Linked DNA regions of Notamacropus eugenii. Each later gene encodes a partner of the first gene's protein in a complex. Links are inferred from orthologs where the notes say so. Each region holds a gene or a part of one and is shown on either strand. Other genes may lie near its edges.

The links.
Region 2: the proteins of PRKAA2 (region 1) and PRKAG1 are in contact, whole or in part, in a crystal structure (PDB 6B1U), measured with the Homo sapiens proteins. The link is inferred for Notamacropus eugenii from reciprocal best matches to the Homo sapiens genes PRKAA2 and PRKAG1. Residues at the interface, in NP_006243.2 of Homo sapiens: Asp329, Asn330, Ile333, Met334, Ala337, Phe340, Tyr341, Leu342, His366, Pro367, Glu368, Arg369, Met370, Pro371, Pro372, Leu373, Ile374, Asn444, Val446, Thr447, Pro530, Arg531, Leu532, Gly533, Ser534, His535, Thr536, Met537, Asp538, Glu541; in NP_002724.1 of Homo sapiens: His36, Asp40, Leu41, Ile42, Pro43, Thr44, Ser45, Val50, Phe62, Leu64, Val65, Thr66, Gly68, Val69, Arg70, Trp75, Ser77, Lys78, Lys79, Gln80, Phe82, Pro158, Glu159, Ser160, Gly161, Asn162, Lys170, Arg171, Lys174, Phe175.

The regions. Positions count from the first base shown.
Region 1 is NC_092873.1:516,701,459-516,716,597, reverse strand, and holds the start of PRKAA2 (5'-AMP-activated protein kinase catalytic subunit alpha-2), read right to left. Parts: upstream 6,740-15,139; 5' UTR 6,643-6,739; coding exon 6,549-6,642; intron 1-6,548. UniProt on the Homo sapiens protein: Catalytic subunit of AMP-activated protein kinase (AMPK), an energy sensor protein kinase that plays a key role in regulating cellular energy metabolism.
Region 2 is NC_092874.1:220,885,257-220,900,208, forward strand, and holds the start of PRKAG1 (5'-AMP-activated protein kinase subunit gamma-1), read right to left. Parts: upstream 5,851-14,952; 5' UTR 5,747-5,850; coding exon 5,738-5,746; intron 2,203-5,737; coding exon 2,154-2,202; intron 99-2,153; exon of another isoform or gene 1-98. Other genes in the region: KMT2D (histone-lysine N-methyltransferase 2D), read right to left, coding at 8,804-8,896, 9,003-9,111, 9,211-9,284, 9,452-9,737, 11,271-11,401, 11,513-11,649, 12,278-13,391, 13,576-13,703 and 4 more. UniProt on the Homo sapiens protein: AMP/ATP-binding subunit of AMP-activated protein kinase (AMPK), an energy sensor protein kinase that plays a key role in regulating cellular energy metabolism.

The DNA.
Region 1 (15,139 bases):
CCTGCCCTAGTTCACCAGTAGATGGGATAAACATGATATTTTTTCATTAATCCAAAGCACTGATAAAATGTGAGCAAAAACCAAAAAAGCCCAAGGCCAAACACAAATCCCTGGGGCCCTCCCCTGGAGGTCACCAACTGACACTGACGTGAACAACTACTCTTTAGTGGATGGTGCACTGAGCCAGCCAAGTTCCAAATTCATCTAAGTACCCTATCATCTAGCCCACATCTTTCCCTCGTTTCTTCAAGGACAACAGGGTGGGCATTGTTCAACCCCGTTAGTCATAGATGAGGGAAATGAGGTTCAAGAAGTCATGTGAATCACTCTTAAGTGGTAGAGACAGGATGCTAACCTAGACCTTCAGACGACACAGTCAGATCTCCTCCCCTGGGCTGACCTACCTTACAACTGCTCACTTAGGAAACGATGAACTACAATGTTATTTTTTTCAAACCATTTGTACTTTTTAGACTATTAAATGTGATTTTCATTTTCCATTTTCTAATTGCTCAGTAAGTTTCTCTTCTGATCCCTAACACGGTAATGCTAATAAATCAATTTACTTTTAGACATCATAGAATGTCTCTTTTTTTACCATGAAAATTTTCCTCTATAAAGAACCAAAAAAGGGGAATTTTATAAGACGTTGCTAATTTCTATTTGGAGCAGCTTGATTTTTTTAAGAGGTAAGGTGGGGGAAGGAGCAGACATAGGTCTTGTGATCCCATTAGTAGGGGAGATGATCCTACCAATGAAATCTGGTACTTCCTCTGCCACCTAGAGTCTTGGAGGTATCAAACAATATGCCCATAGACCAAATAGGGGCTCCACAGCAATGGGCCCTCGGGGGGCCCACACCAGATTAAAATGCAATTGGGAAATATTTGACAAAATAAAGATAATATTAATATGAAGTTTTCTGAGTCAATATGAAGGCCTGTTTCTATTTGAATTTAACCACACTGAGTTTAACTATTTAACTATTTGAGTTTAAGCACACTGAGTGCTGTGACTTGCCCAAGGTCACACAGCCAGTAGATGTGAGGCTTAGACCTCACAGAATTTCAACTTAATTTCTGTTCAAGCATTGAATAGCAGATGATTTAATTTTATAAGATAATTAAGATACAAATGTTAAGGGTACCTTATATTCCATAAAAGTTAAGAACTGAACTAGAGCCAAGAAGAAAAAAAAACCTAAAGGAATATAAAGTGCTCCTAACTTTCGTATCTTCATGGTCATATAACATTAGCTCATTCACCATCCGACCTTTGAACAGAAATTAAGTTAAAATTCTACAAGGTCGAAAATGTGCAAGAGTCAAAAAGATCCTGTGTTTTTATTTCCCTTCCCAGATGAAATGATTAACCTGAATTTTGCAGAAAGTGCTATAATCCAGTAACCAAACAACCACACAGATCCTAACCTTGGGTCAGAAATGACACTATTTGGTGACAATTCTGGCGTGGAAATTTTTCAGAGAATCTGCTCCTTAGAGGAAAGGATCTCTCTATGAAACAATTTTTTTTTTTAAATCCACATGATTTGTGTTTGACACAGATTTTTTAAAGCAGCAATTCAAACTTATTAGGAATATGTACAGTGGTTTGAATGGTCCTTTCAACTATCAGGGACTTGATGAAGACACACTACTAGGACACTTCTCCACACAATGAAAGGCTATGAAGTTAAAGTACACAAATTTGTGCTCCCAGACCTCTAAGTGACAAGACTATCCCGTCTGCATTATCCTTTACAGGGGCTAGCTAGCACAGGAACATTTTGTAAATAATACTGATTCACATCCACATAGCACTCTAAAATGCTGGCATCACAACCATCTTGGGATGTTTTGGAGAATCACAGAAGCGCAGTGTCGGAAGAGACTCAAGCGGTCATCTCGTCCTGTCCCCAGAGATGGATGATCTCCCAGCTACTCCATCTGTCCTGTATCTTGTTTGGCCTTAGTCCTTTTCATGTTATCACCCCATTCAAATGTAAGCTCCCTGAGGGCAGGGAATACCTTTTGCCTAGTTTTGTATCCCCAAAGCTTAGCACAGTGGTTGGCTATTATTAACTACTTGATGACTAACACCAAAAAACTATTCTCCACTTCATACCCAAAAAGCGACTGTCCCATTCTGGCATGAATACATCTAATAGGAGAGCACCCACAACCGCAGACAAATTAGCCCATGTCCAAATCGGTTTGACAGAAAAAGTTACTCAATTTCTGAGACTACCAATGACATAGCCATAATAACGTAGCTAGTAAGTGTCTGAGGCAGAATTCAGACTCAGGTCTCCGGACTACAAATTTGCCAGACTACTGACAAAAAGCATGATGAGATAGCAACCCAATTCCAAATCATTATGAAGACAGATATCATATGTAGAACCTCAGTGACATAGTATATGATAGATACGAATGTACATATATTATCATACGTATAAATTAATATACGATATAGGAATTTATAATTATGTTATGTCAACATTGTGTTATGCTATATCAATGTGTATATCATGTATTAAATCTATAATATACATCTACATATTAAAACTATATCTATATATATTAAATCTATAACAAACATATATCATATATATTAAAGAAGGAGCATAGTTCCTTCTTCAAGGAAAAGCGCTGATCAAGCAGAAAATCTGGATTCTCTTCCTGGCTACCTGACTCCTCAAGCCTCAGTTACCTGGCTAATAAAACAGGTATAATAACACATATACAATATACCTGTCGGGCTTATCATGAGGATTAAATAAGACAGCATAACATTTTTAAAAAACTTTGTATATCACTTCATGATTACAAGCTGTTTTATATATACGGGTCTTGGAGAAGGGTACAGAGTGACCAAGGGTGAGATGGGAAGGAGACATAATATTTACTCTGTTTTTTCTAATGTACATTCTTTTATGCCAAGAAATTCAGTCGGTGTTCTAACTTTACCTCAAGGGAACAAATGTCCCGTCCAACTCTGTCCTTCCCATCTGTCTACACCACCCATCTGTCTACACTCATCATACTGCTCCCAAAAGTAACCTAAGCTCATACAGTACCTAGAAATCAATGCTCCCCTATGCCAGAAATGAGGAAGGAAACACCACCTGCTGATCTTGGCTACAATCCTTTGGACAATGGGCTTCACATTCCTCCTATATAACGAACCTGAAAGTAAGAACACCTGGCAGATTGATAGACAAATCAGGACAGGAGGAAGAAGCAGCCAAGGACAATTACCCACCCCCTCCTGGAAAGAAAAAAAAATCGACCTTTTCAAAATCTGTGTCCAGCAATCAGAATCAGGATGAAACTTGAATCAGCTGGCTCCAGAACTGATTCAATGTACAATGAACAGAAACAGCTAATGAATCTCTGGGACTATTACTAACAGAAAAGACAAAGAGGGCACCAGGGCAGCATATGCAGAAATGTCCCCTGTGGACAACGAGCACTTCTGAATCTGAGGATGGAGAAGATCGGCCCTTCTCAGAGAGGACCCTCAAGTCTCCAGAATCCTGGCAGTGAGGGTAGGAACTCTGCCCCCAAAGCCTCTCAGGCCTGCCAGGAGGCATGTGTGCCCCTTCAGAATCACAAAGTATGGTATGAAGGAAGAGAAAGCATCATCTCCACTAACCTCAATTTACGCAGAAGGGAATGAAAGTCTAGAGCAGGAAAATGAGCTGTCAAAGGTATGGCAGGGAGTTAGCAGCAGTTCAGGCTGCAACACGGGTCTTCTGTCTTCTGACTCCCAGGTGTTACATTTCCCACTAAAACCATGCTGGCTCTCAAAAGCTGGCTAGACCTTTCCAGCAAACTGCCTTCAAACCACTTAGAGGCAGCTTCAGAATCCCCCTTGCCATCCTGATTATCATAGAACTTTGCATGCTCAAAGTAACCTCAGAAGGCCTTTATTTCAACCCTCATCTATCCCCATATGACTCCACTAAAGACCTCTGGTTTCACACAAATGAAGGATGATTGAGGCCTGTGGTGTGCTGGTAAATGTTAACAGCCAGCTCCCCGCCCCACCCCAAAAGAAAACATTCACACGATACACTTTTAGAATTAGAATTCATTACACTGAAAACAGCTCACTCCATTTTGAGTCAACTTACTGGAACAGTGGAAGCAAGGTTTTCTTTGTGGGGCTGATGTTTCCTTGCTTGTACCTGCCCCTGTTGCTTTTCTCCTGACTCATGCAGAATAAATCACACTCCTCTTCTGTACCACAGCCTGAAGACAGCTAGCTGTCTCAGTCCCTGAGTGGCCAGGATACTAACTCCTTCAGCAGGCCACAGACAGAGTTTATGGAAATGGGAGGATGCTACTGCTGCCTGGAGGAGAACAGAACCTTGCAGGCCAGGTCTTTGGGACCTTACACAGGGAGGCTGTCCCTGTCTTTGGAATAATGTTATCTTCTTAGGAATTAGTGCCGTCAGTGTCACCTCCAACCTCATTCTCACTCACCAAACTATACTCACCCCTACACAAAATTACTATGGATTCATTTTGTACATTTTTTATTTACTTTTTTACATAGATTGTATTTCCCTTCCCACCAGAATGTAAACTTTATGAGGACAAGGAACTGTCTTACACCTTTGTGTTCAAGACTTGCACACAGCAGATGCTTAATAAATGCATCTAGAAGGAAAGACAGTAGGGGGGAAATTTAAAGCAGTACTAGATTTATATTATAATAATGGTCCTATCATACTCTAAATAAGAATAATAAGGCTTTTTGCATTTTATAAAAAAGTGTTTTCCATACACTATCTTGTTGGAGCCTGAAGACCACTAGGTGCACTAGTTACTCTAAGTTTTGTTAACTCCATTTTACAGAAGAGGAAACTAAGGCTAAAAGAGATTGACTTGTTCATTTTAATCCAGCTAAGAAGTGCCAGAGTTGGGATTTGAACGCAAAGCTCCTTCTTAAGACTAGCAGTAGTAACTCCGGCATCTACTGGGTCAAGGTGCCTCTGTGATCCCAGCGAGCTACCACGTAGCGATGCCACCAGCTATGCACTCTGCCATAGCCCTCTCTCCCCACAGTATGCCAGTGCCCGGCCTGGGAGGGACAAGCATTTCTCATCCCACACGGAGGAGGGAGAAAACGAAGGCAGAAGGATGGGGCGGGCAGAGCCCTGTCCGGTGTTCCCAGCCAGGAGCCAGAGCTGCGGCTGGATTGGCATCCAGATCTCCCAGCAGCCCAGGGAGGGACAAGGGCCGGCCTAAGGTCATCCAGGACCAGAAGCTTTGCTTCACTTGCTGCCCAGGATCCTGGCTCCAGGTGGGAGAGACCCGACACCAACGGGTACAACCTCTTCCTTTCACAGAGTGAAAAATAGAGGACGTTCACGCAGCAGAGTTAGGAGGTGAACCTGGGACCAAAGACCATGGTGCCTAAGCACTTAACACAGGGGAGCCCCACCCTAGGAAGAGGGGGAGTGCCCCGAGAAGCCCCAGAGCAGCCAGGCCCCTCTCAAGGTCACGCAGGTAGCCAGAGGCAGGGCTGGGGCCCGAGCCAAAACCTCCGAGACAGGTGTGGGAGGGGCGGGGAGGACCCGAGTGACCCAGCCCCGACCACGCCCCCGCAGCGCCCCGCTCCCGCTCCCGCTCCCCCTCCCCCTAGACAGCTGGGCTACGAAAGGGCGCGCAGCCTCTGCCCTGGGAGAGGATCGCCCCCACCGCCTCCTCCCTAGACAGGTGTACACTGCGTGGGGCGCACAGGTGACCCCCCTCCAGCCCTGCACCCGGCCCTGGGGGAGGGCCGACCCCACAGCCCCCTCCCCCGACAGGTGTACACTGCCTGGGGCGCACAGGTGACCCCCCTCCCCCGCCCAGTCTTGGCTCCGGGGCAGGATCGCCCCCACCGCCTCTTCCCCAGTCAGGCGTACACAGGGAGGGGCGCACAGGTGACGCCCCCAGCCTCTGCCCTGGGAGAGGATCGCCCCCACCGCCTCCTCCCTAGACAGGTGTACACTGCGTGGGGCGCACAGGTGACCCCCCTCCAGCCCTGCACCCGGCCCTGGGGGAGGGCCGACCCCACAGCCCCCTCCCCCGACAGGTGTACACTGCCTGGGGCGCACAGGTGACCCCCCTCCCCCGCCCAGTCTTGGCTCCGGGGCAGGATCGCCCCCACCGCCTCTTCCCCAGTCAGGCGTACACAGGGAGGGGCGCACAGGTGACGCCCCCAGCCTCTGCCCTGGGAGAGGATCGCCCCCACCGCCTCCTCCCTAGACAGGTGTACACTGCGTGGGGCGCACAGGTGACCCCCCTCCAGCCCTGCACCCGGCCCTGGGGGAGGGCCGACCCCACAGCCCCCTCCCCCGACAGTGTACACTGAGTGGGACGCACAGGTGACCCCCCCCCAGTCTTGGCTCCGGGGCAGGATGGCCCCCACCGCCCCCTCCCCCGGACAGGTGTACACAGGGAGGGGCGCACAGGTGACCCCCAACCCCGCACCCGGCCCGGGGGGGAGGACGCCCCTGTGCCCCCCCCGCCCAGGCGCGCCCCCCACTCAACTCTTGACTTTGCCGAAGGTGCCGACCCCCAGCGTGTCGCCCAGCACGTAGTGGCCGATCTTCACGCGCCCGTCGTGCTTCGGCTTCTCCGCCATGGTCCGCCCGCCAGCCCGGCCCAGCCCGGCCCCTCCTCCGCACGGCCGAGCCCCGGCCCGGCCCCAGCCGCCGCCTCCGAAGCCGAAGCCGCAGCCGCCCCGCGGAGCTGCCCCGAGTGGCCGCCGCCGCCGGGCTGCTGTCTACCCACAGTGCCGCGGGAGCGGGGAGGGGGCGGGGGGGAGAGGGGCGAGGAACCCCGAGGGGAGGGGCGAGGGAGCCGGAGACCTGCGCCGGGAGGGGAGGGGGAGCGCGAACTGTCAGGAGGAGGGAGGGAGGCCGCGCGAGGCGGGGAGCGGGCGGGGGGAGCGAGGAGGGAGGAAGACCCGGAGGGATACAAAGTATCCAATAAATAACCAAGCGAGTCCGCCGCTTCCCCGCACCTCGCTCCGCAGCGCGGTCTGTTAGGATCCTGGAACGGAGGCAGCCCTCGCCGGGGACCCCTGGCCTGTGCCTTCAGGGATCTGGGGGGGGTTTACATTCCCAGTTCTGACACCTCCTGCCCCAAGTCCTGTCTGGTGCTAATTTGGGCAGAATCCTCCCAGGAGCTCCTGGAAATCCAGGCATTTACCGAAGGATGCTGTCTTTGCATAGAATTGTGAGAAAAAAGTGAGTTACAGAAGTGGGGTCCTCGCTGCCCCTTCAATACCAAGGTCATGTGAGGGAAGGGGCGGGCAGGTAGAGAGAGTGAGTGCTAAAACCGAGCTCCTTGGGATCCTAGATGACTCTGTATTTTGTGGAAATTGTTGAGGCTAAATCAGATACTAATAAAGTTTGTGTGGAGGGGCCTTAATGTCACTGAGCAGATGACATTAATTAATAGAAATTCCCTTTCTGGAAATGGGACTCAGGTCTCTAAACTGGCCTTTCAGGGAAGGAACTAAATAAAGGGTCCCCAAAGCCTTAGCATGGCTATAAAGGCTATTAGAGCTTTGGGATCACCTCTATTTATTCATAAGAAAGGATGTAACAGGAGCTTGTTGAAAAGCAGCAAATAGATGCGGTGTCTAAGTGTTTTCCAAACCTTTAAGTTTATTCTTGTGTGTGGTGGAAGCAGAGCCCATCTCATAAGCTGATAGATGGTCATTGTTGCTTATTGTACCCAGAAAGATCATTTCAGAATCACTCTCCCTTCATTGCTATGGAGAGAAAACAGGTAGTTCACATTTTTCTGTTGTGATAAATGAGCTTTTCTTTGGCTAAGGCTCACTCCTCCAGGACTCCAGAAAGGGAAGAGTGGACTGGTCCTTCCCCTTGCTCATAGACAATAGGGTCTTTTTTGAAAGGTCATGACAATTTGTTAGTTAATATTCCTGTACTGCCTGTACTGTGTTTACCAAATAGTCAAATGATCATTTTGTGTTGACTCCCTTTCTTGAAGCTCTACCACAACAAAGAATCTAAAGCATATCATTTAATTGCTTTATATTAATTATTAACTAATTATGACAGCTGAAATGATTAAACACCTCTATTATGACTGGGATCATTATAGGCATAACTTTAAAGGATAAAGGATTCAGAAAGGTGAGAGAAAGTTCATATTAAAGAGTCTTGACCACTGAAGGTCTAGTCCAGGGATGGAGAACCTTTGGCCTCTGGGCCACATGTGACCTTCTAGATCCTCAAGGTTGGCCATTTGACTGAACCCAAATTCCGCAGAACAAATCTCCGTAATAAAGGAATGTTCTGTAAAATTTGGACTCCATCAAAAGTCTGCACTTGAGGACCGAGAAGGCCATATGTGGCCTAGAGGCTGCAGGTTCCCCACCCCTGGTCTAATCTGACCCCTTTCTGTTAAAAGCCTGAAGAGGGAGAATTATTTGCCCAAGGTCACACTGCTGTTAAGAGACGGAACAAGACTCAAACTGTCTCTTTGGAGACTCTTTGACTCCAAAGGCCAGGGCCATCTTTCTAATACTCCACATATCCAGCCCAACTGTACAAGCCTCTTCTATAACACCCAATAGCTTGCTGAGTACCATCTCTGATGAGGCAGCTGACAACTTCATGAGGCTAGTCCATCAGAGAACAATCACATTCCAGAAGATCATTGGGTGACCAATCAATTACCCAACAGTTATTAAATTCCTCTGATGTGCCAGGTGCTGGAAATGCAAAGACCCCTCCCCTCTCAAAAAAAGAATCCCAGTCTCTGCCCTTAAGGTTCTTCTGTTTGAAGAAAACATATACTAAATAAATACGCTGTAATCCTGGGTAAGGGAAGGTACTGACAACTTAGAGAATCAGAAGAGACTTCTGTAGACCAAGCTTTAAGACAGCTAGAGATTCCAATAGAAGTGAGGATAGAGGACATTCCAAGCATGGAGCACAGCCAGGGCAAAGCCTTGGAGATGGGAAACAGAGTGTTATGAGTAAAGCAGAGCAGAAGGCCCAATTTTACTGCACCAGAGACCATGGTTAAATATAAAAAGACTTTGAAAAAGTAGACTAAAGTCAGATTGTGAAGAGAATTAGTCACATGAAGGAAGGCTTATTTGAATTCTAAGGCAATAGAGAGAGAGCACTGGAGCTTCTTGAGCACAGGAGTATCGAAGTCAGATCTGTGCTTACATTCAAACATTCAAACATTCAAAGGAGAATGCAGAGACTTGAGGCAGGGAAACTCATTATGTTATAATCAGTAGCCAAGGTCAGAGGGGATGAGGTCAATAGAGAGATGAAGAGAGATTGTAGAGATAGAAACTTCAACCTCAAATTCAATGAAATAATATCTCCACAAAGCCTTTAGCTCAGTGCCTGGCACATGGAAGGCCCAAGACACATGCTTATGCCCTTCCCTTCTCCCAACCTCCCACACTTCCCTTTCTCAGGAAGCCTGTTTCTTTACTGAGAAAATTAGGTCTACACAAAGTGAGCTCTCTCTCTCTCTCTCTTATCCATTATTGTCATCTCAGATCCCTTGGCTGTCATCTATTTCCCACTCTCCCCCACTTTGCCCTAGTCTCTGACAAAGAGGTCTTGGCTCTTTTTTTTTTTTTTTTGGCCAAAGCCAACCCCTCTACATGTGTCCCCAGTGAAACCCCTGGGCCCCATTCTCCAACATCCTTAATCACCCCCTTCTCTCACAAACCTTCAACTTCTTTTACCTGTCGGGACTGCCTTCAAATATATCATATAGTCTTCCTCATCCTTAAAAAAAAAAAACCACACAACTCTTCACTGAAAACTACCATCCCCTGAATTATCTTCCTGTATCTCGTCTTCTTTCTTGGTCAAATACCTTGAAAAAGCTGGTTACCTTCCCTGAATGAAGAAGCTCCTTTCCCACTCTCTTCTCCACCCTTTACCAGCTGGCATCCATCCTCATCACTCAGATGAAACTGCTCTCTCCAAAGTTCCCCAAGATCTCTTAAGTGCCAATTCTGTTGTAGTGGAATTTTGGTTTTTGTTTGTATTTTTTCCCAATTCTCATCCTTCTTGACCTATCTGCTGAATGTGACACTGTTGACTGTCTTCTCCTCCTGGATGCTCCATCCTCTGGATTTTCCTGACACTGACTGAAGAGCCCTTCTCAGTCCTTTACAAGTTTATTCATTAACTGTGGGTATTTCAAAAGGTTCTATTTTAAATTCTTGTCACTCTTTTTTCACTTTTCACTCCTTCAGCTCCATTGATTTAACTGTCATCTCCACTCAGAGGACTCCAAGAACTACATTTCCAGTCCAAGTCTCTCCCCTGAGCCTCTGTCCCCCTATACCAATTTCCCATTGGACATTTCAAATTGTATGTCCTGGAGACATTTTAATCTCCACGTATCCCAAATTGAAGTTATTATATTTCCTCCAAAACCCTCCACTCTTACAAATTTCCCCAATTTTGTCAAAGTACCACCATTCTTCCAGTCTTCCAGGTCCACATTACCCTTAACTTGTCCCTTACCCTTACCTCACATAGCCAATAATTTCCCAGATCTTGCTATTTCTACCTCTAAGCACCCAGCTTCCACTTCAGTTCTCATCACCAGGATGATGGCACCTACCTCCTAATTGGTCTCCCTCCCTAAGTGTCTCCTATTCTAGTCTATCCTACTTAGTGCTGCCAAAGTGACTTTCCTTAATTGCAGATCTAATCATATGATCCCTCTACTCATTCCACCCCATTGTCTCTAGGATCTAATAGAAAACCCACCACTTAGTTTTCAAAGTCCTATACAATCTGGGCCTCAACTTATGTTTCCAGATTCACTGGACATTACTCTTCCTCCTGCACTCTTGGATCCAGACAACTGGGCCTGCTTTCTCACTCTCACAGATAGGACAATCCATCTTCCTACTCTTCATCTTCATCCCATTCACCAACCTGGAAAGGGATGCCTTCTTTCCTTCCCTTTACCTCCCAGAATCCTTCTCTTTAAGATACAGCTCAACTACCACAAATCCTTTCCTCATCCTACCAAGTGTTGATGTCTTCCTTTCCAAATTTCCTTATATTTAACAACTCCGTCTATATTTCTTCACTTTCTACTATATATTTGCGTATGTATGAATGTATATATGTGTCGCCCCCATTGGAATGTCCATTCTTGTGGACAGAGATTGCTTCATTTCTTGTACTTGTATCCCCAGTGCCTAGCATAGTGCCTGGCACACAGTAGGTGATTAATAAATATAATATATAGTAATAGATAAAGTATTTAATATATTATATTCTAAATTGTTATATATTTAATTAAATAATTTAATACAACACATATTAATATTTTTAGAATGTTGGCTCTTTTTGAGTGCAGAGTGCACTAGTATCCTCATTGCCTAGCATGGTGCCTGTCACACAGTAGGTGATTCATAAATGCCAGCTGGTTAACCAAGTGCTTAGCCATCACCTCCCTGCTATCTTCTGATCCTCCATGGTTCCTCATCGTCCCTTCTCCCAACTTTACCCCTTCATTCAGGGTGGTGGTTTTCCTTCTACTGTCCTGCAGCCAAAATTTGGACCAACTAAGAATGATGGCCCACTGTTCATATTTACTCAGGTTCGTTGGCATTATCAAGTAACCTTGATTTAGAGGCCACCTGCTGTTCCCCAAACTGGGCTTTGCCCTTTGCTAAGTAAACCCGAGAAGCCAGGGCTTTGCCCTTTAGGAACTTTTGATCGGGCTAATTCCAAGGTAAACAAAGCTTGGCTAAAGCTAATCCCCCAGAATGCCTAGAAATGCCCTGAAGCACTTGTGCTGAGGTTAATGAGGCTTAGGGGTCAGGAACCAGTGGGAAAGGGAGGAGTGGAGGGAACCAGCTGAAATCCCAAGGAATTCCACATAGCCTTTCTCCAGGAGCTTGGAGAGGAGCATTCAATGAAGGAGCCAAGCCTGGTCTGAAACATGCATGGTCTATGAAACATGCTTCCAAAGCATCCAGGAGATACAATGTTTCTGCCCAAGATACTGGAACATGTGGTCGGTCTTTGTACCAGAAACATCTTGGACAGCTGCTTGAAAGAAAGTCTTGAGGACTTGAATGATGCAACACCTGAGGTGGCCGGACTTCAAAGATTTATTAATAACTTAATATGTGCCAGAAATTGCATTACATACTAGAGATGAGAGGGTGAACTATGAAACAGGCCTTGCCCTTGGGGGGCTTTCAACCTCTCCCATTACATGGAGGAGGAAGGAAATTTGTTCTTCATCTCCCAAGGCAAAACTTGGGGTCATAGGATCTGTTGTTACCACTGAGTCATTTCAATCCTGTCCGGTACTTTGTGACCCTATTGGGGGTTTTCTTGGCAAAGATACTGCACTAGTTTCCCATTTCCTTCTCTAGCTCATTTTATAAATGAGAAAACTGAGGCAAACAGGGTGAAGCGATTTGCCCAGGGTCTTACAGCTCATGTCTGAGGCTGAATTTGAAAGTCTTACTGACTCCAGTTCCGTGTTCTATCCACTGGGCCACATAGTTGCTCTTCATTAACTAGGGTGACAAGGAATTTGCCACAAGGTCTGACAGACGGGATATTCCCTACCACTATCCTTGGCCAACTACCAGCACGACCCCCCATATACAAAACCAGGTATTCAGTTCTTTCTCAAAAAAAAAAAAAATGAGAAGAGGATAAAATTTAGAAAAATATTTTCCCTTGAAATTACATAATTCACACCTTTAAAAAAAGTACTTTGGAAGTTTCCAACACTAATATTTTTTAAAGAAAACATTTTTACCTTTGTTAAGCTAAAGGGGCAACTGGGTGATTTAAATTGATCGGAGCAGAGTCAAGGCAGAGCATTTAACATTCCAACATTCCAACATACCTCCCTCAGCCACTCTTCATTGTTCTCTTACACCTTCACCATATCTTAGGCTCTAGAACATAGATAATGTTAAAATGTGGTTTTCTAAGGCAATGTGCACCAGGCTCCTGTTTCTAGTTGAGTTTGATACCACTGTTGTAGACTAGCTACCCAGCAAGGAGCAAACCGATGGGATCCAGAAGAACAACCTGTGAGAAGAGCTGCCATTTTGGGGGACAAACTGCCTAACCCAGGAGCTTACATCCAATGTAAGCATCAGGCTAGTGAGGGGAAGTAGAGGAACAACTTTAAAGATGTGAATTGCCTACATGTGTGCCTACCAGTCTACTCTGTTTGGACACTGGACACTGTGTGGAGAGTGTTTCCTGGATTTATGGGGAAAATGTTTTATAGCTACTATTTTTACTATACCACCTGTATAAAGTAGAAGTCTTTATGATTGGGGGCTAACAAGTTGTAGAGTTTTCAAATTGGGGTACCCATAGTGTACCCCTTGAACCTTGTAGGAACAGCCACCCACTGGGGACCCAACCTACCAATGCAAGTGTAAGTTGGGGATGTAGCCAGGGAGGGTAGGGGACTTCATTGATTAAATGGGGGGGGGGGGTCATCCTTATTGTAGTGGAGAGACAGCATTGTGTAGTAGATACAAAGTGGGCCTCAAAGTCCAGTCCAGTCTTTCACTGACACCTACTATGCATTTATCCATAAATAAATCACTTCCTCTCTCAACACCCCCTAGGAAACCCTAAGTTACAGAGGAGTTACTGACCTGCATTTGTAGAAGGAGTATCCATAACAGGAATTCCTTCACTAATGAAATCCCACATCAGGTTCTGTGTCTGTCTATCTGTCTACCTCAGTTTCTCACATATAAAATGAAGGAGTTAGACTAAATGGTCTATGAAGTCTTGTCCAGCCCTCTCTCTCTCTCTCTCTCTCTCTCTCTCTCTCTCTCTCTCTCTCTCTCTCTCTCTCTCACTCTCACACACACACACAGAGTGGGTGAGGAAACCATCCACTCCCAATTCCCCTCCACCCCCATCCTAGAAAGAAAATATAAACATAAAGTAGAAATTACATTATTTGAATAGTGACAATAGGCAATAGAATCTGACAGACAAGCTACAAACTGTTAGACCTTGGACAAAGAATTCTATTACCAATGGCTACAATTCAGCTCATAGGAATGTCATAGCAAAAGTATATGTCAAAATGCAAAGAACTTTTGTACCTTGGTAACCTGCGGCCCAGCCCCCAACAGTTGGGTTTCCTGGGTCCAATCTTGGGGGTTATCTGAATAATATCCTTCCCTCTTTTGGTATATTGTGCTCCTATCCATGGCTTGCTTGGAAAAAAAATTGCCAAATATAGCTCGTATTTAGATCTTGACAGATGTAGATAAGGGAATTTCTGATGCAAACCCTCAAAACAAAAATGTATTTATTGGACTGAGGATAACTCCATAGAAAATGCATGAGGTTCTAGAAGGCAACATAGAAAATAAATAGAAGACTCAAAATTACCTATAAACTATGAAATGTAATGTGTATCTATATGCATATAGATACACATGTTTCTATGAGTATATGTGTGTACACATATCTGATTCTCCTCCCATTTGAGTTAACCCTATTCCCTCAGGATCTTTAAGTCCTCCATACTAATAGAACCATGCTGGATTTGGACTCCCCTCAGAAGAAAAGCAAACTTGGGGTGGTTGCTTTTTGGCAACATTCCAGTGGCAGCATTCCAGTGAATCCTACGTGTCCACGTATGAGTTCTCTGAGGGCCTGGCTTCTTCCATCAGGGAAGTACAGTTGGGACTTCTAAACTGGTAATACTCCTACCTGTCACATAGAGAACAACTGGATGCATGTAGCAGCAAGCACCCTGACACATGCAGGATGGCCTGCTAGCACAGGTTTTTAGATCTGCTTTCCTAAGAGGAGAGAAACTTTTGAGGGGTCAACAATTTTCTTTAATCACATATACCAAAAGAGAAAGTACAAGAAGAGAAATAATGACCAGCAGACATGGCTTCTAACCGTCTGACCATAAACAATGCATATATCACAGATGAACAGACAGAGCCAACTATCTGACCATTACATACATACATAGTTACCAAAGAGAGAAGCACCAATATCTGGGTTTTCAAAGCCAGGGGACTCCTTAACAGCTACCCAGAGTCTCATCTGGTCTATCACTTGAACATTCTTCCAAAGAGT
Region 2 (14,952 bases), on another chromosome or scaffold:
AAAGGATAATCTCTTAGAAGTCTATTCTTGTCTGGAAGGTTCTTCTCTGAGCTAAGTTTTTTCACCATAACTTCTGTTCATTCTCTCTTGCTCTTCTCCTGGAATAGAATAAGAGTCTTGTGATGCTTCAGAGAGCTTTTGATAGGAATGAATGGTTGCCTTATCCAAGCCATTCCAATTCAATACCATGTTGGTGTGTGTTAGTAAAACACCATGTTGGATGGGACTTCCTGCTTCCTGTATTTCCCTCCAGCAGTCTAAGGTTCTGAGGATGGGTCTAGGGTGAGGTCAGGCTGGGTGTAGGATCCTGAAAGTCTTATTGATGGGTAAGAAAAATCCACAAATAGTCTGTACCACTAATAAGGCCTTGAGAGAGAGGGCAAGTTCAGAATCCAGTGAAAACTGAGACTATCTCCATATCCTTTGTCAAACTAGGGAAATATCCATAGCCTGCACTGTCCTACCTCATCCTGTGCCCAACATGGATTTTTTTTTTTAATATAAAGAAGAGAGCTATCTCTATCCTTTATCCTCAGCCATTATTCCAAATCCCATAGAGCCTCTAGAGTCTCTGAGGCTAGTATAAAAGTCTGTCTGGGAAGTCCACAGCAGCTTCAAGGAGTTCCAGAAATGGTGAAGGGGGGCATATTTAGGTCCTCCTAACTGGCTTCCTTGCTTTCCACTCTTCGCACTGCTGCCCCAATAATCTTCCTAATGTCAATAATCTTTTCAATAGCTTTCAATGGCTGCCCACTACTTAATGAATTAAAAGCTCCTTACCCTGGCACCCAAGAGTCTCCATAACCTTCCAACTTCCAACCTACCTTTCTAGTCCTACTTCATACTATTCATTTTCTTATACCCTACTTTCAGAACAGACAAGGGTAGCTTTTATCCCCACTTCTCATCCTTCCCTCACTCCTCTCCAAACTTGTACTGTTCTCCTGTTTAGTTAATTTTCCACTCTACCTCCTAATGCTGAAAGTCTCCTCCTTCCCTTAAAACTCAACTTAGATACCAGTTCCTTCAGGAATTATTCCCTTTTCCCAACCAAATCAAAATGATCTTCCCTAAAATTTCACATGCTACTTTTCCTGGATCACTCCTTCGTTATCATAGTTATTTGTGTACATGTGTTTCCTTCTACCCCCTTAAATTATACGTTTTATAGAGGTTGTGTGGCATAGTGGATATAAGATTGTCCTGGAAGCTAGGAAGCCCTGGGATCAAATCTACCTCTATTGCATACCGGCTATGTGACCCCAAGCAAATCCCTTAATCCGTCAGTACTCTAGGCAATTTTTTAAGACTAGAAGTTTCAGAGAAGGTACTGATTGGATTGGTAAATGAAGCTTCTTCAGCTGAAGGAGATTCCCTATACCAATGAAATCACAGGTCAAGTCCTGATTCCTCTCTCTATCCATCAGGGAAGGTCTACGTCATCTCTTTGGAATCTTAATGTCCTACGGCAATAGAAATCTTTTTTTAAAATAAATGGAAGATTATTTCATTATTTTGGGGTGAGGTTCGAAAGCCTGTCACACAGTATAGAGAAGCAACTGTAAAGGCAATTCAGGGTTCTTTCATAATGGCTCAAAACTGACAGGAGTTTGGGAACACTGTAGGACTGCTAAACCCTGTGTCTTGGATTTTATTACTATATCCCTAATCCATTCTATTCCTGACTTGAAATGCTGGGAAAATGTAGAAGTCTTCAAAGCCATCCCAGATGTGAGGGTACACACTCAGATGCTGGGTGACAAAAGACTGGTGGTTCCTGGCTCTGGGGTCTTTAATAAGTAACAGGGACTTCTATAATGTGGTCTTCTAGCCTATAGCTCTCCCACTGACAACAGTTCAGAATCTCCCACTGAAAAAAAATCCTACTCTAATTATCTAAATCACTTATGACAATCTTAATAAGCACCCCTATAACACCAAACTTATTCCTGTTGTTCCCTATATAAGCTCTTGATTCTAATTCTTATAAAGCGGCCTAATATCTCTGGTTTTTGGCTCAGCCCTGATATCCCCAGCATGTACAATGGGAGAGAAACAAAACCTGCTGAAACTGAAGACCAATTATAGACTGGTCACTGGTTTTCACAGAAGTACCCATCCTTCTTGGAGTATATCATGATGAAATATATTACCTTCCAGAGCTGGGGTGCATTTTTCCATACCACTCTCTGGAATAGTGACCTGGAAGGACAAACAAAGGAACTAAGCCTAACTTAGGATCTACTAACCTCATTATGTTTCTCATGGCTCTTGAATCTACCCCTCCCCCAACAATAAGGAAGGCAGCATAAAAGAAACAATGCTTTAAAACTGACACCAGTGATTCCTGGCCTAGGCTAAGCTACAAAAGCTTTTGAAAACGTAGCCCAAAATGTGGGCCCACACCTGACTCCCAAAGAATCTGCTATGGGGGTCAAAAACAGGATAGTGGGATATCAATGCCTTCCCCAAGTACTATCTTGAGCATAAGGACCATGCCACTTGGTCCCTAATCACAAAGACAGGGAGAAACTGGCAGCCAGTCAGTCATCACCACTTGAATGTCTGAAGGATAAACATGAAACATGTTCTGTAGCTAAGAAGTTTTTTCGAAATTCCAACCCAATACCTTTTGTCAATTCAGTGGATCAGTCAACAAGTATTTATTAAGCTCTGACTACATGCCAGGCACTTCTCTAAGTACTGGAGACAAAAAGAAAGGTAAAAAATAAACAGTTCCTGGTCCCCAGGAGTTTAGTCTAATGGAGAAACAAGGGAAGAGAATAAACATTTATTAAACACCTTTTTCTATGTGCCAGGCCCTGAGTTAAAGCACTTTACAAATATTATCTTATTTAAGCTTCACAACATGCAAAAACTTATGTACAAATAAGATATATACAAGACAAACAGGGGATAGTCTCAGAGGGAAGGCACTAAGATTACGGAGGACTTCTTGCAGAAGGTGGGCCTTTGAGATCTGAAGAAAGCCAGAGAAGCCAGGAGGTAAACATAAGGAAGGAGACTGTGCCAGGCATGGAAGACAGCTGGTGAAAATGCTCAGAGTCGTTAGATGGAGTGTCTTATTTGAGATCTCAGCATGTGGAGGATAGTAAGAAAACTTTGAAGGCAGGAATGGGCCAGGTTATGAAGGGCTTCAAAAGCCAAAGAGAAAATTTTATATCTGATCTGGGAGAAAATATGGAGCTAAAGGAGTTTACAATGGGAAGAATGATATGGTCAGACCTGCACTTTAGCATCACTTGATGAGCCAGAGCCTTCCAAAGCCAAGAGAAACACTAACTGCCTCTACTTCCTGGTCCTAGGGACATAGAGAGGGTAAAGGGGCAGTTCCTGCCTCCTTCCCTAGCTCAGAGTAACCAAAACTTGGGTAAATCTGTATACTTCCTGGAAATGTCAATGTTACCCAAAAGGAGTTATGCTGATTTCTATCTGTACTAGTAGCTGCAATTCAACATATTCAGAAAATGGTTCCAAAAACTGCATTTTTGCCCCACAAGTTTTTGCAAAAATGTAAGGCTAAAAGATCTGGAGTCTTTCTGCTGGCTAGTGAACAAAGGTCAAAGGCAAGCTGAAAGGACAGCTTCCCACCCCCAAAGGAAGCAAGAACCGAATTCCATTGCTGCTGTCTGCTGCGTGTGACATTTTGGCAATGCCACTGGAACAAATCTAGTCACCTGCATGTGAAGGTTACTGAGCAATGCAGATACATACATGTATACAGGAGACACAGACAAGATCACACAACATACAAAAACCAAAGACTGGATAACATAAAGAGAGACCAAGAAATGGAGCAGTTGTCCACTTTGGCATTTATATACTACCTTGTATTGTGATAATTTTTTCATATACAAATATCTTGTCTCCCAAACCAGAATGTAACCTCCAGGAAAGCAGTAATCTCAGTACCCTAGGCACACAGCTGGTACTCAATAAATATTTGTTGTTGAACTTCCACTAAACTTCCCATTATGATGCCTCATTATATATTATGGAGGTAACCTGCAGTTTTGTATTAGATACTATATTACAATGACAAGTCCTATACCAAGCCAGAATGGTTCAGACTTCAGGCTCAGTGATTAGCCTACCTAAATTCAGAGAGACTCATCACCAAAAGGATGGTTACCAAGTGATGATTTTTTTTGACACAGAAACTTATATATCTATCCAAGCTGTAGAAAAGCTTCATTTCTTTATTGGTGGAAAGAATATTTATATGGATGGAATCACAGATTATTTGAATTACTGCAAAACATTATGATGGTGATGTACTGGAAGACGTAGATGGTCAGAGTGCTGCACTAAGACAGAAAGATAGACAAGCACAGAATAGATACAAACATACATATGGCTAAGTAACCTTATCTTTATGAATCCACTTGTATTATCTGCTCCTCAAAAATTTCTGCTCCCACCTACCTCCCAGAGATGGTTATAGAATGAACTGAGATAGTAGGTTATTTATGAATGTGCCTGGAAACAAAGTTGCTATGTAAACCATAAGGGAGCAATAGAGGGGCACAGATGATTTGACACAAATAAGACATTTGGACTGGAAAACTGGATTTGTAGAAACACAAATGTACACAATCTATACAAATGTATAGACCTGGTCACATGTATATTCAGAGACATACCTAGACAGACACTTAGAAAGATAATTACAGCTAAGTTTGTGTAGCACTTGAAAGTTTGCAAAGAGCTTTACATATTATTTGATACAAAAAGTCACTAATAGGATACAAAGAGTCACTTAAAAGAACATAATTAGAAACATTAAATAGCTCTTAAGTACCTACAATGTGCAAAGCCCTGTAACTAACTTAAAAGAAGTTCCCAGGGTGGGGGAAGAGGCCAGTGGACGGTTATTCAATAGCCACGGTTCTTCCCAGGATGTTTTCTAAGGACATTTTTCCCATGCTGGTCGGATCCTTCTTAGCTACTTCCTTAAACTGCAGGGTTGGACTCTTTCAGGCCGTACATAACTTATCCTGAGTTTTACTCAGTGATCAGAATGAGGACAATTTAGCTCTTAGTATTCCAGCTCTTTGCTGTTTTCATCACAGTCCTTAGTTTGCATGCCCCATGTCACTGAATCTCAGACTCTTAAAACTGGAAGAGGTTTTGTAGACCGTTGGGTCCAAATGCGCCTAGAGAGATGAAGTACCTCGCCCGAGATCAGTTCATCGACGGCAGAGCTGTTATTTGAACCCAGCCCTCCTGCCTCCCAGTCCAGTCAAGAGCACTTTCCCAAATTTACAAGGTTGACGTCGTCCCTATGTCATTTTTTGGAGGTCCCACTTTTACCCTTTGCAAAGGAAGAAAACCCGTTTTTTGTTGTTGTTGTTTTAAAGAGAGGGGTAACAGCTAACGTGAAATGGGTGGGGCGACCCCTGGAAGGAGGACTACGGCCATGGGAACGCTCCGCAGGGACGGGCTGGCACAAGCGGCCCGCGCCCCAGGCTCCCTAGCGCCCGGAAGGGCCCGGGGCCCAGGCACCGGAGGGACGCCCGCCCTCCGCCGAGCAGCTTCCTAAGGCGAGACCTCGGCGTCAGGGCAGCCCCGGGCTCCGGGACGGACAGCCCAGACAGGAGGTCCGGGGTCCCCGCCCCCTCCCTCCCTTCCTCAGCCCGGCAGCGGGGAGCCGGCTGGCCCCGGCCGGGAGGCGCCCGCCGCCAGGCCCTCCGGCTGGCAGCCCTCTCCCTCTCACCGTCTCCATCCCGCTCCGCGCCAGCGGCTTTCGTGCCCTCCGGGCCGCTTCTTTCCGGATCCGCCCCTTTCGTCACTTCCGGCACCGCCACCCTACTTCCTCCCGCGTGACCTAAAGACGCGCGGCCTCCGCCCTTCCGGTAGCGACCAGTCGCCTGCGAGCGGCCGAAGGGGCGTTGCCTTTCCCCCTCCCTTCCCGGCCTTGGCCGGCCCCGGGCCGCTGGCGGCGGCGCTACCGAGCGACTCCAGGCGACTTGTATTTAAAATGCTTTTTTTATTTGTCCTTTAAAAACAAACTTGGAAGAAGCAAAATCCCAAACTTGCCCTTTGCCTCTCACAACATAAATTATGTACAGTTCATAATGATCGCCGATACAAAACATGCCACGGACGGGGGCTCGGGGCGGGAGGGCGCGGCCTAGAAGGGGTCATTTCATCCGTTGTTACGAAGGACAAACCTGGCTGTACAGCATACACAACACAAAGTCAAGTCTCCACGGGATTCACACTGGTCAGCGGTTTTTATCCAAGGGAGGCCGAGGGAGGGAGGGGGAGGAGAGTCCTGGAGATGAAGGGGAAACTGAAAATGGAGGGTGTGCGTGTAAACCAACCCAAAACACGAACGCGGGGTGGGGGCGGGGCGCTTCCGATGCGTTGTACAAGCGGGGAACTAAGAACAACAGAAAACCAAAGTTCCAACCTTGCAGCCTGGGTCTGCGTGATAGTTTGTATCAAAATTAAAAACTGTATAAGGTTCTTCACTAAGATCTACAGGACTACCAGATACCTAGCATACCTTACAAAGTCTGCCCCCAGCCCAGACCCTGCGCTGGGCTCCGCTCCGGCCCGAGGGCCTTCTGCTCTCGGAGAGGAAGAGGTCCGGCGGCTGGGGTCGTGCGGGCGGGGTGGGGTGGGGGGAGGGCGCTAGAGAAGCCCAGTCTTGCTCCTGGTTTACTTACAGCAGCTTCTCTTTGCTCCCTGTGGAGCTGGGGGCGGGGGTGGGGGGGGTGGGGGGGGTTAGGAGTTCTTTTAAACCTTTGCATCTTTAAACAAGTTGCGGAAGCAGCTTTGTCTTTTTCCCTAAAAACAAAAAAATCTTCAGCCTCCTCCCCACCCCTGCCACCCCATTCTGTCTCAAATTAAAACACAAAACAAAAACTTCAAAAGAAAAAAAACAACTAAAAACACAACAGCGACTAGGCTCCCTGCTCCAGCCCTCTCCACTGGCATCACCTTCATCCTCATGCTCCAGATTTCTGATGCTTTAAAATAATTACAAAACGCCCTTTGCCCACAGCCCCTAGAAGAGAGAACTGAATAAAAACTTCATCTGCAAATCTACGGCTCCCTACCAGAGAGGGGCCTAGGGGTTACTTCAACACCCCCCCCACTCCAGGAAGAGGTTCAATCACCTGCAGCACAAGTTAGGGAGGGAGATAGGAGAAAAAGGAGGGAGGGGACCCGTCACCCTCTGGCTCCCTTAGGGGCCAGATCACTTTTGTGCGTTATAAAAGTCCAACTGTACATCTGGGAGTGGGGAAACTGAGCCCAGCCCCTGTCCCCTCCCCTCACCTTTACAGCAGTCACAGCCAGGGGATGGGGGGGGGTGAGAAGCAGGGCAGCAGGTCTGGGATAATGGAGGGCAGCTCCCCCACAAGGGGAGCTCCAGGTGTCCCTCCCCTCGCCCCCTACCATTTATAAACTGGTTTTGTAAAAAGAAAATAGATATATTTATATAGAATATATAAAGCACAAAAATTAGTAGTTTTACATTTGCTCTCCCCAGGGGGTGGGGGGGAGAGGGGAGGGTTCTCACCTCCTGCTGGCCCCCCCATGCCCCACATGACTATATACAATCCGGCTTATAAATAGATAAATACCCCCCCACCCTCCCCACGATGACACTAAGCTCCCCTACCCCCAACACCTCCCTTTCCCACCAGACCAGCAGCAGTTTGGTGGCTGGGGAAGTAGGGAGCTCTGGGCCCCAACCTGCCCCACGGGGAATGGGTACACAACTCAAGAGAATCTCTTTCCCCTCCAAATCCAGGGAGAGGCTGAGGGAGGCACTGGGCTCATGATGGGGTTGGGAGTACAAGAGGAGGACACCCTGGTTCTGAAACACAACCCCAATACCTCTCCCTTCCAACCTGTTCAGAGGGGGAGAGATGCCCAGCCTCTGAGGGGATCGAGGGGTCACCCTCTCTCAATCGCTTCCCATCAGCCCTAGTCACTACCCCATGCCCACAGTTAAAAACAGATTTTTTTTCTAAAGGTTTTCCTTTTTACCCCCCCCTCCCTGCTACCCCCAGTTCAGACAAGGGGTTGAGGGATCAGAGGGCTGGGGAGAGGGTCTCACATTTCAAAACAGCAAAAAATCCAACACTTAAATGAGGTAGGTGTGGGTGCAGGATCTCCTTGCCCGGCTTGCCTGCCTTGCCCGCCCCACCCGGGCAGCTGGGTGCCTCTTTCCCGTTCGTGTTGCATTTGTCAGAGAGAAAACAAGGAAACACAACCCAGAAAGAGAGAGATGGAAAGAGGGACAGAGAGAGACATAGAGGAGAAGAGGGAGACAGAGAGAAAGGGAAGATGGGGGTTGGGAAGTAGGGACAGGACCCAGCGGGCAGGGCCAGGTGTGGGGACCCAGCCTTTGGGATTGTCAAGCTTAATCAAGTCTCTTTGCAGCCTTGAGTTGGGCTGGGGACGTCAGTGGGAGCACTGGGGCTGGGAGACCCAAGCTGCCACCCTCCTCACCGTCTCTGCTGCCTCCTAGACGGTGCTGGGTAGTTCCCAGCCCATATCTACCCAACCCCCCCACCCCCCGAACCTGAGATGCCCAATGGCTGTTTCTGTCTGTCGGCTCCTGGAGCTGGGGGCAGATGTGCCAGCCTGGGGCCTGTGGTGGGGGAGGGAAGTCATCCCTGGTGCCCAGAAAGGGCCCTGAGCCCCGTCCTGCTCCTAGGGCTCTGGTCAGCCAGCAGCCCCAGCTCTGGGTCCTGGCTCTCTTCCCCTTCAACCCTTCTGGGAAGGGCTCTGGAGGGTCTCCCCTGCCCAGCTGCCTCTGAGCTTAGTTCATCCACTTTCGGCAGTTCCAGGCTCCACAGTGGCAGGGGATTTTGTGCTGGTCATCCTCAAAGTCAAACTGATAGTCATAGGTCAGCTGGGGAGGGAAGGGAGAAAGGATCAAGTCCAGTCAGGCTTAGGGAAAAAAAAAACATACAAAGGAAATCACTGCCAATCACATCATTCCTAAGACTTCCTCTCACCTCTTCTCCTTTGGGGATGCGCCGGCTGGAGATGATAATGATCTTATCCTCCTTATCAAAGGTCACAACCTCTGCTACACAATTAGGGGCACATGAATGGTTAATGTACCTGAACCGGAAAAGACCAGGGAGTGGTCAGTGTCAGGGGAACAATTCAGGTTAGGGCCAGTTCTACCCTGACATGCCCCTCCCTCCCTCTCCATCTTACCTGGCTGGCCCTCCAGTAAGTGTGGCATCAATCACATGCTCATTGTTGATACGAAACATATAGATACCTCGATTCTGTAAAGAGGAAGGGAACAGGAGAAACAGATTCAAACAGATTCAGGCTTTCCAGCTTTCCACAAATATCTCTCGTTTTCCCTTGAAGACTCAAGTTTGCCCGCCATAGCCCCATCGTCCTGAATCCCCGGAACATTCTACACACAGCTCCTCTCCTTGGCCCTAACCTGCTCCTCATAGATCTTCTCACGACGGTTGGCCACCTCATTTCGAATGATGGTGCCAATGTACTCAATGACCATTGTGTGCTTCTCCAAGTCCTTGGCAGCATACAGCCCCAGGCCCTGAATACGGGATCGAGCCAGGTACACGTTGTTCTTCCACTCGGTGCGGAGCCGGCGGTACTGTGATGATTTGGAGTGCACAAACTGTTTGCTGTACGGCGTGTTGGTCTCGCCCGTGAAGGTGCTCTGGTATGCCTTGGACATGCTGGTGCTGTTGAGGGTGTGAGGCCTGGGGACAGCAGGAAAAATGGCAAGTCAGATCTAGTAGACACACAATGATGTGTACCCAACCCCCAACTCTGGGATGTGGCAAATGTCAGCCAGGCCTCAGGACATGTGCTACGGGCATATGGGAAATATAGCCTGGGCAAATAGAGGCAGAACCTGAATTTACTATAAGGGTCTCCATCTTGGTGGGGCAGCAGTTAAAATCCATATGGCCCTCTGTTCAGAAAACCTGAGATAGGTCTAGGAATCAAATAAGCGAAACTTCTCCCATTCCCTGATGTGTGGATACATTCACCCTCTCATGACTAGCCTAACACAGATGCTCTTCCCTCGACCACCCCAAGGACAGGGAACAGTCTATGTCTTGTCATTCCAGTCACTGGACTATCCCTTGGAGCTCTACTCCGAGGGCATATTCAGAATTCTGTTCCTTTACCACATTAGAACAATTCTTGAGAACTAAAGTTGTTTACACTTTTCCCCCTTGAAACAAAAACTACAAACTTTTCCCAAACAGGGATGATATCTCTCTTCCCTTGCCTCTGCACCAACTATTCAATTCAGGAAAATAATTCAGTAAACCTGTTTGACTCCATTTCCCTCCCCCACTGCCCCCTACCCTTCGTCCCTACTCCCCACTCCACCTTCTCCCTCCACAACTACCTAGGCTGTATTCCTGCCCTTCATCTCTGCACACCAGAGATCAAGTCCAGGACTCTTTGCTTGGGGCTTGGTCACATACAGTGACAGAACTCCTTTAAAATCGTTTCTGTCTTCCTGTACCCCAGCTGGTGAGCTAGGGTCCACTAATGGCATAGTGGGAAAAGCACTGAACAAGTCAAGAAACCAGGGCTCTAGCTCTGGCTCCATCTTTGACTTGCTGTGTGACCTTGGGCATGTCAATTAACTTCCTTGGGCCTCAGTTTTCTCATCTGAAAAAAAGGGGGGTAATACCACCTGCCCTACCTACCTCATAAGGATGTTGTGAGGATCAAATGAGATAATGGATGTGAAAGCGCTTTGGAAAAAAAAGTATAAAATGCTATACAAATGTGAGGTTTTAATGTTCTTTCAATTATTATTCCTGGGGCCACCTCAGGTGGACATTAGCACTCCAGGGTACATCTAAAGGCTCCCTTTTAGGCTCAAGGTGGAGGGAGTCAGAGCCCTTTAGAGAGGGGAAAGGGAAAAAACTATTAGCTCCCTCATCCATCACATCAATAAATACCTGCCTACTGCATACCTCCCCAGTTAACACATTTCCACCCTCCACCCCCATTAGTTAGGCAGGAAAGACAAGCTTTAGAGGGGGCCCTGGCTCCAGCCTCCTCTATTCAATATGTCTGAGTGATTCCTCAACGTTTCCAAAGGAAAAGATGTCTCCATTTTCACCCCATCTGTGTTGTGTTCCGCCCCCCTGCCCCCAATTATCCCAAGGTCTCCAATCCTCCACCCTGTTTTCTGCCCATTCCCTTCACTTCAGATCCCTCCCAAACCCAGCTCGACCACAGACTCCCTCAACAAGTAGGCTCACCGTTTGTAGTGAGTAAGGATTTTGGGCTCAGAGCGGGCACAGCCAGTAGGGTTGATCATAAGTGGTAGTTCCATCAGTGGGTGCCGTCCATATCGAAACAAATAGTTGTGACAGCTTTCCACTCCAGGCAGCTGTGGACACAGTGAGCAATCTACCACAGCCCAGGCCCCTGGGAGCAGGGGTACCCCAATTAGCCTACCCCAGAATCCCCTGCAGCCCACCCTGCCCTCCTCCCACCTTACCGACTCTGCAATTCGTAGGACAGCATGTACTGTCAACCCAAAGAGCTCCTCGCCCTTAAGATACTCCGGGAATAACCGAAGCATGTCGGCTTCCTTGCGCATGGCAGCCACTGGTTCAATGATACGGTTCCACACAGCTGAGGGGAAATCAAATGACCATCAAAAGACTTATTTCCCCCCATATCTGGGCTTTACCCAGATACAAGAGTTATTTTTTATCTGTGGCTCCCATGACCTATGCCAGGGGTGGGAAACCTTTGGCCTCAAGGCCACATGTAACCCCAAGGCTGCAGGTTCTCCACTCCTGACCTATGCCTTGACTCCTTCCCTCTAAAACAGGAATGGCACCCCTGTGGGTCAGACCCTCTGCTCTAAAGACAGTGAGGAATATAAAGTAGGAATATCAAAAAAATTATCTCTTACCCCGCTCCCTCCACCCCTAAATATAGTCAATACTAGTCAGAGCTTCATTTAATACCCTAAGTAAGAGAAAATAACGATGAGTTAGGATCAGATTAAGGGAAGCTTGGACCTAATCTGTGGGGACATGGAAGTAACTCTTTTCACCTCAAATGAGAAAAGAAAAAAAAAAAGAACAGCAGAAAAGATTAAGGTTGAACAACAAAAAACTCTGCCCAGTCTAATGGATGCTAGGCCACAGAAGTTAAAGACTAAACACCAAAGACCTCTGTGAATTACAGCTGGGAAGGAGTTTGTCCTACCCACCCACACAGTACATGGTTCCCTAACTCCCTAGAGCCTCACCCTGGGGGGATGCATCAGTGAAAACCAGGTCTTCCAAGCCCTGTTCCATGACTTTGACAATAAACTCAGGCCGCCCGTTGTTTTCGATGATGGAACAGCGATAGCAGCAGCGCCGATTGTTGGTACGTAAGCTCCAATAGATGCGCGTGGCCTCGTAGCCAACTGGGTAGAGGGCTGTGGCACTGTGGAAGTCGGCCATCTGGTGGGGCAGGAGCTGCCCAATGGCATGGAACACTAGCCCTCCCACCCGGAACATGTGTAGCCGCTCACCACGCTGGATGATACTAGCAATCTGCTTCACCTCATCCCGCTCAATGTAGACACGGCGAAAGACAGCAAAGGAGCTCAGCTCCTGCTCACAGGGCCCCTTAAGCTTGTGCAATGGGCATAGCATCGTTTTATCCTTGAAGAACATGCACTTGGCCCGGATGGCACAGGCAAAGTGGTAGACACTAGGACATCGCAGTCGGTTACAGCTGTTAGTGGCTCCGGTACGCTGGCACAGCGAACACTTGGTCAGCAGCCCTCGGTGGAGGGCGCCCTCGACATTCATCAATGCCCCACCCTGAGTTTCATAGACCTCCGTGGACCACAGGGCACAGTTAAGGTGGACCCATAGGTCCAGATCCAGGTTAAGGAGGCGGGCAGGCCCATCAGTAGCTCCATCACCTTCTTCATGGCAGAAGCAGCAGCGCCGAAGGTCACGGGGCACCTTGTCAGGCCGGAGGGCTGTGCCCAGCTGCTCCATGAACTCAGCCACTTCCCGCTCCCCTTCTCGTCGTCCGCCACCCTTCTGGATGGTCAGCAGCAGCCGTAACCGTTTCCAGCGAAGCCCTTTCCACTTCTTAAGCCGGGGTGGCCGGGAATCCTCACCCTCTTCAGGAGGGCGGGCTCTGGGCTTGGGGCGAGCTGCTTCAGGCAGTGGAGGTGAGGGAACTAGTGGTGGGGGTGATGGGGCTGAGGGTTCAGCTGCGGGGCTGGCAGGAGAAGGAGCTGAGGGTGAAGGGGGAGGAGAAGGCTCCTCAGGTGGTGGGGCAGAGAGCTGACGAACATCCAGGTTGGAGACGTTGTGGATATAGCAGTGTTGGGCAGGCAGCTCTGGAACGGGGCTTTCCTACAGAGACAATCCCATACCATTCAGCACAAGGAAGCCTCCTGACTGTGCCCAGAACACCAGACTGGTATCTACCACTGTTCCTTCCCAAATCCCGGAACTTTCCCCTCTGAGGTCCTCTGCCCTGTTAGCACTGCCCTTACCCCCGACCCCAGCTCTGACCCCTCCCACCCCACGGCCCCACCTGCTTGAGGAGGCTCAGGATGTCTAGTTGGCTCTTGAGGGTATAGCCTGGCAGCACTGCATCAAACTGTTTCAGCCAGTCACTGCCACCTTCAGCGGGTTTTCCCCCTAGGTTTTTCTCTTTACCACCTGTAGGAAGAAGTGAGGGAGAATCCACTACCCTTTGAATCTAGAGTGGCATGGCACGCCTTCTGCCCTGGCCTCCCACCCGATCTGTGCCACACTCACCAGGTCCCTCCGCTTCCCCCTTCTTGGGCTCGGCACCCCCCGCGCGGGCAGGACTCTCTGGAAATAGCACTTCATAGGAGCTGGGGATCTTCATGCTCAACAACTCTGCCACAGCCACCATGACACCATTCAGATTCTGACATATGGGGGGAAGGGAGATGGAGAGAAGCGGGAGAGCTGTGTCATCCGAGAGCCCTCAGTGTGGCACTGCGTTACAGCAGAGGCCAAGGCTCCTTCCCTCTACCCCCTGCCTCCCACTCTCCCCACCACATTGGTATACCTTGGCAGCGGCCGCAGAGACAGTCAGCATGACAGACACCTCACTCCCCTTGCCCTTTTCCCAGGTGTTGGCAGACAGCTTTCCTGTTGGTTCTAATTCCAGAGCCCCAAAGGGCTTGGTATCTGGGAAGACTAAATAGGACAGGGAAGACCCTGAAGACCCAGCCGGTCTCAAACCCTCCCCACCCTCAACAAGAATAAAAACAAAGCAGCAGCTAATTTTACCTAGTGCTTTAAAAAACATTCTTTCATTTGATCCCCACAATACTACTTATCCCAATTCTGCAGATAAAAACTGAGGCTTAGGAAGGTCAAGTAGAGAAGATCAAATTTGAACCTAGGTCTTTCCTGACACTGAGCTAGCCCTTTTTCTGCTCTTCCACAATGTCTACTTTTCCTAACCCACACCACAGACAGGTACATACACACACCTGGGATGCTGGCCCGGGGGATGATAGGAATGACTGGGGAGAGGGCCCTGTCCTCCTGCTCCTGCTGGCCTGATACCAGCTGGGGAAATCGAGGGGCCTCCTCCCCCAGAATACTCTCAGGTGAAGAAGCTGGGACGATGCTGTCAGGGGAATCGCTCTCCTCATCACTCTCCATCCTAGAGAACAGGGACACAAGGCATGTTTGCACCATTTTGAGGTCACCCCTCCCCAGCCTCTTGAAGCCTGGGGATATCACAACCCCACCTGCAATCCCGATGGCAGGACAGCCAAGCACCCCACCCCACTCCTCATTTCATTTCCAACCTGACATCCTCAGTCTGGTTGTGAGGAGGAGTGGGAAGTGCTGCCAGCAGGTCCAAGCTCTTCACTTCAGGGGCATCTGGGAGCAGGAGAGAAGTGACATGAGTAGGGGGGCCCCT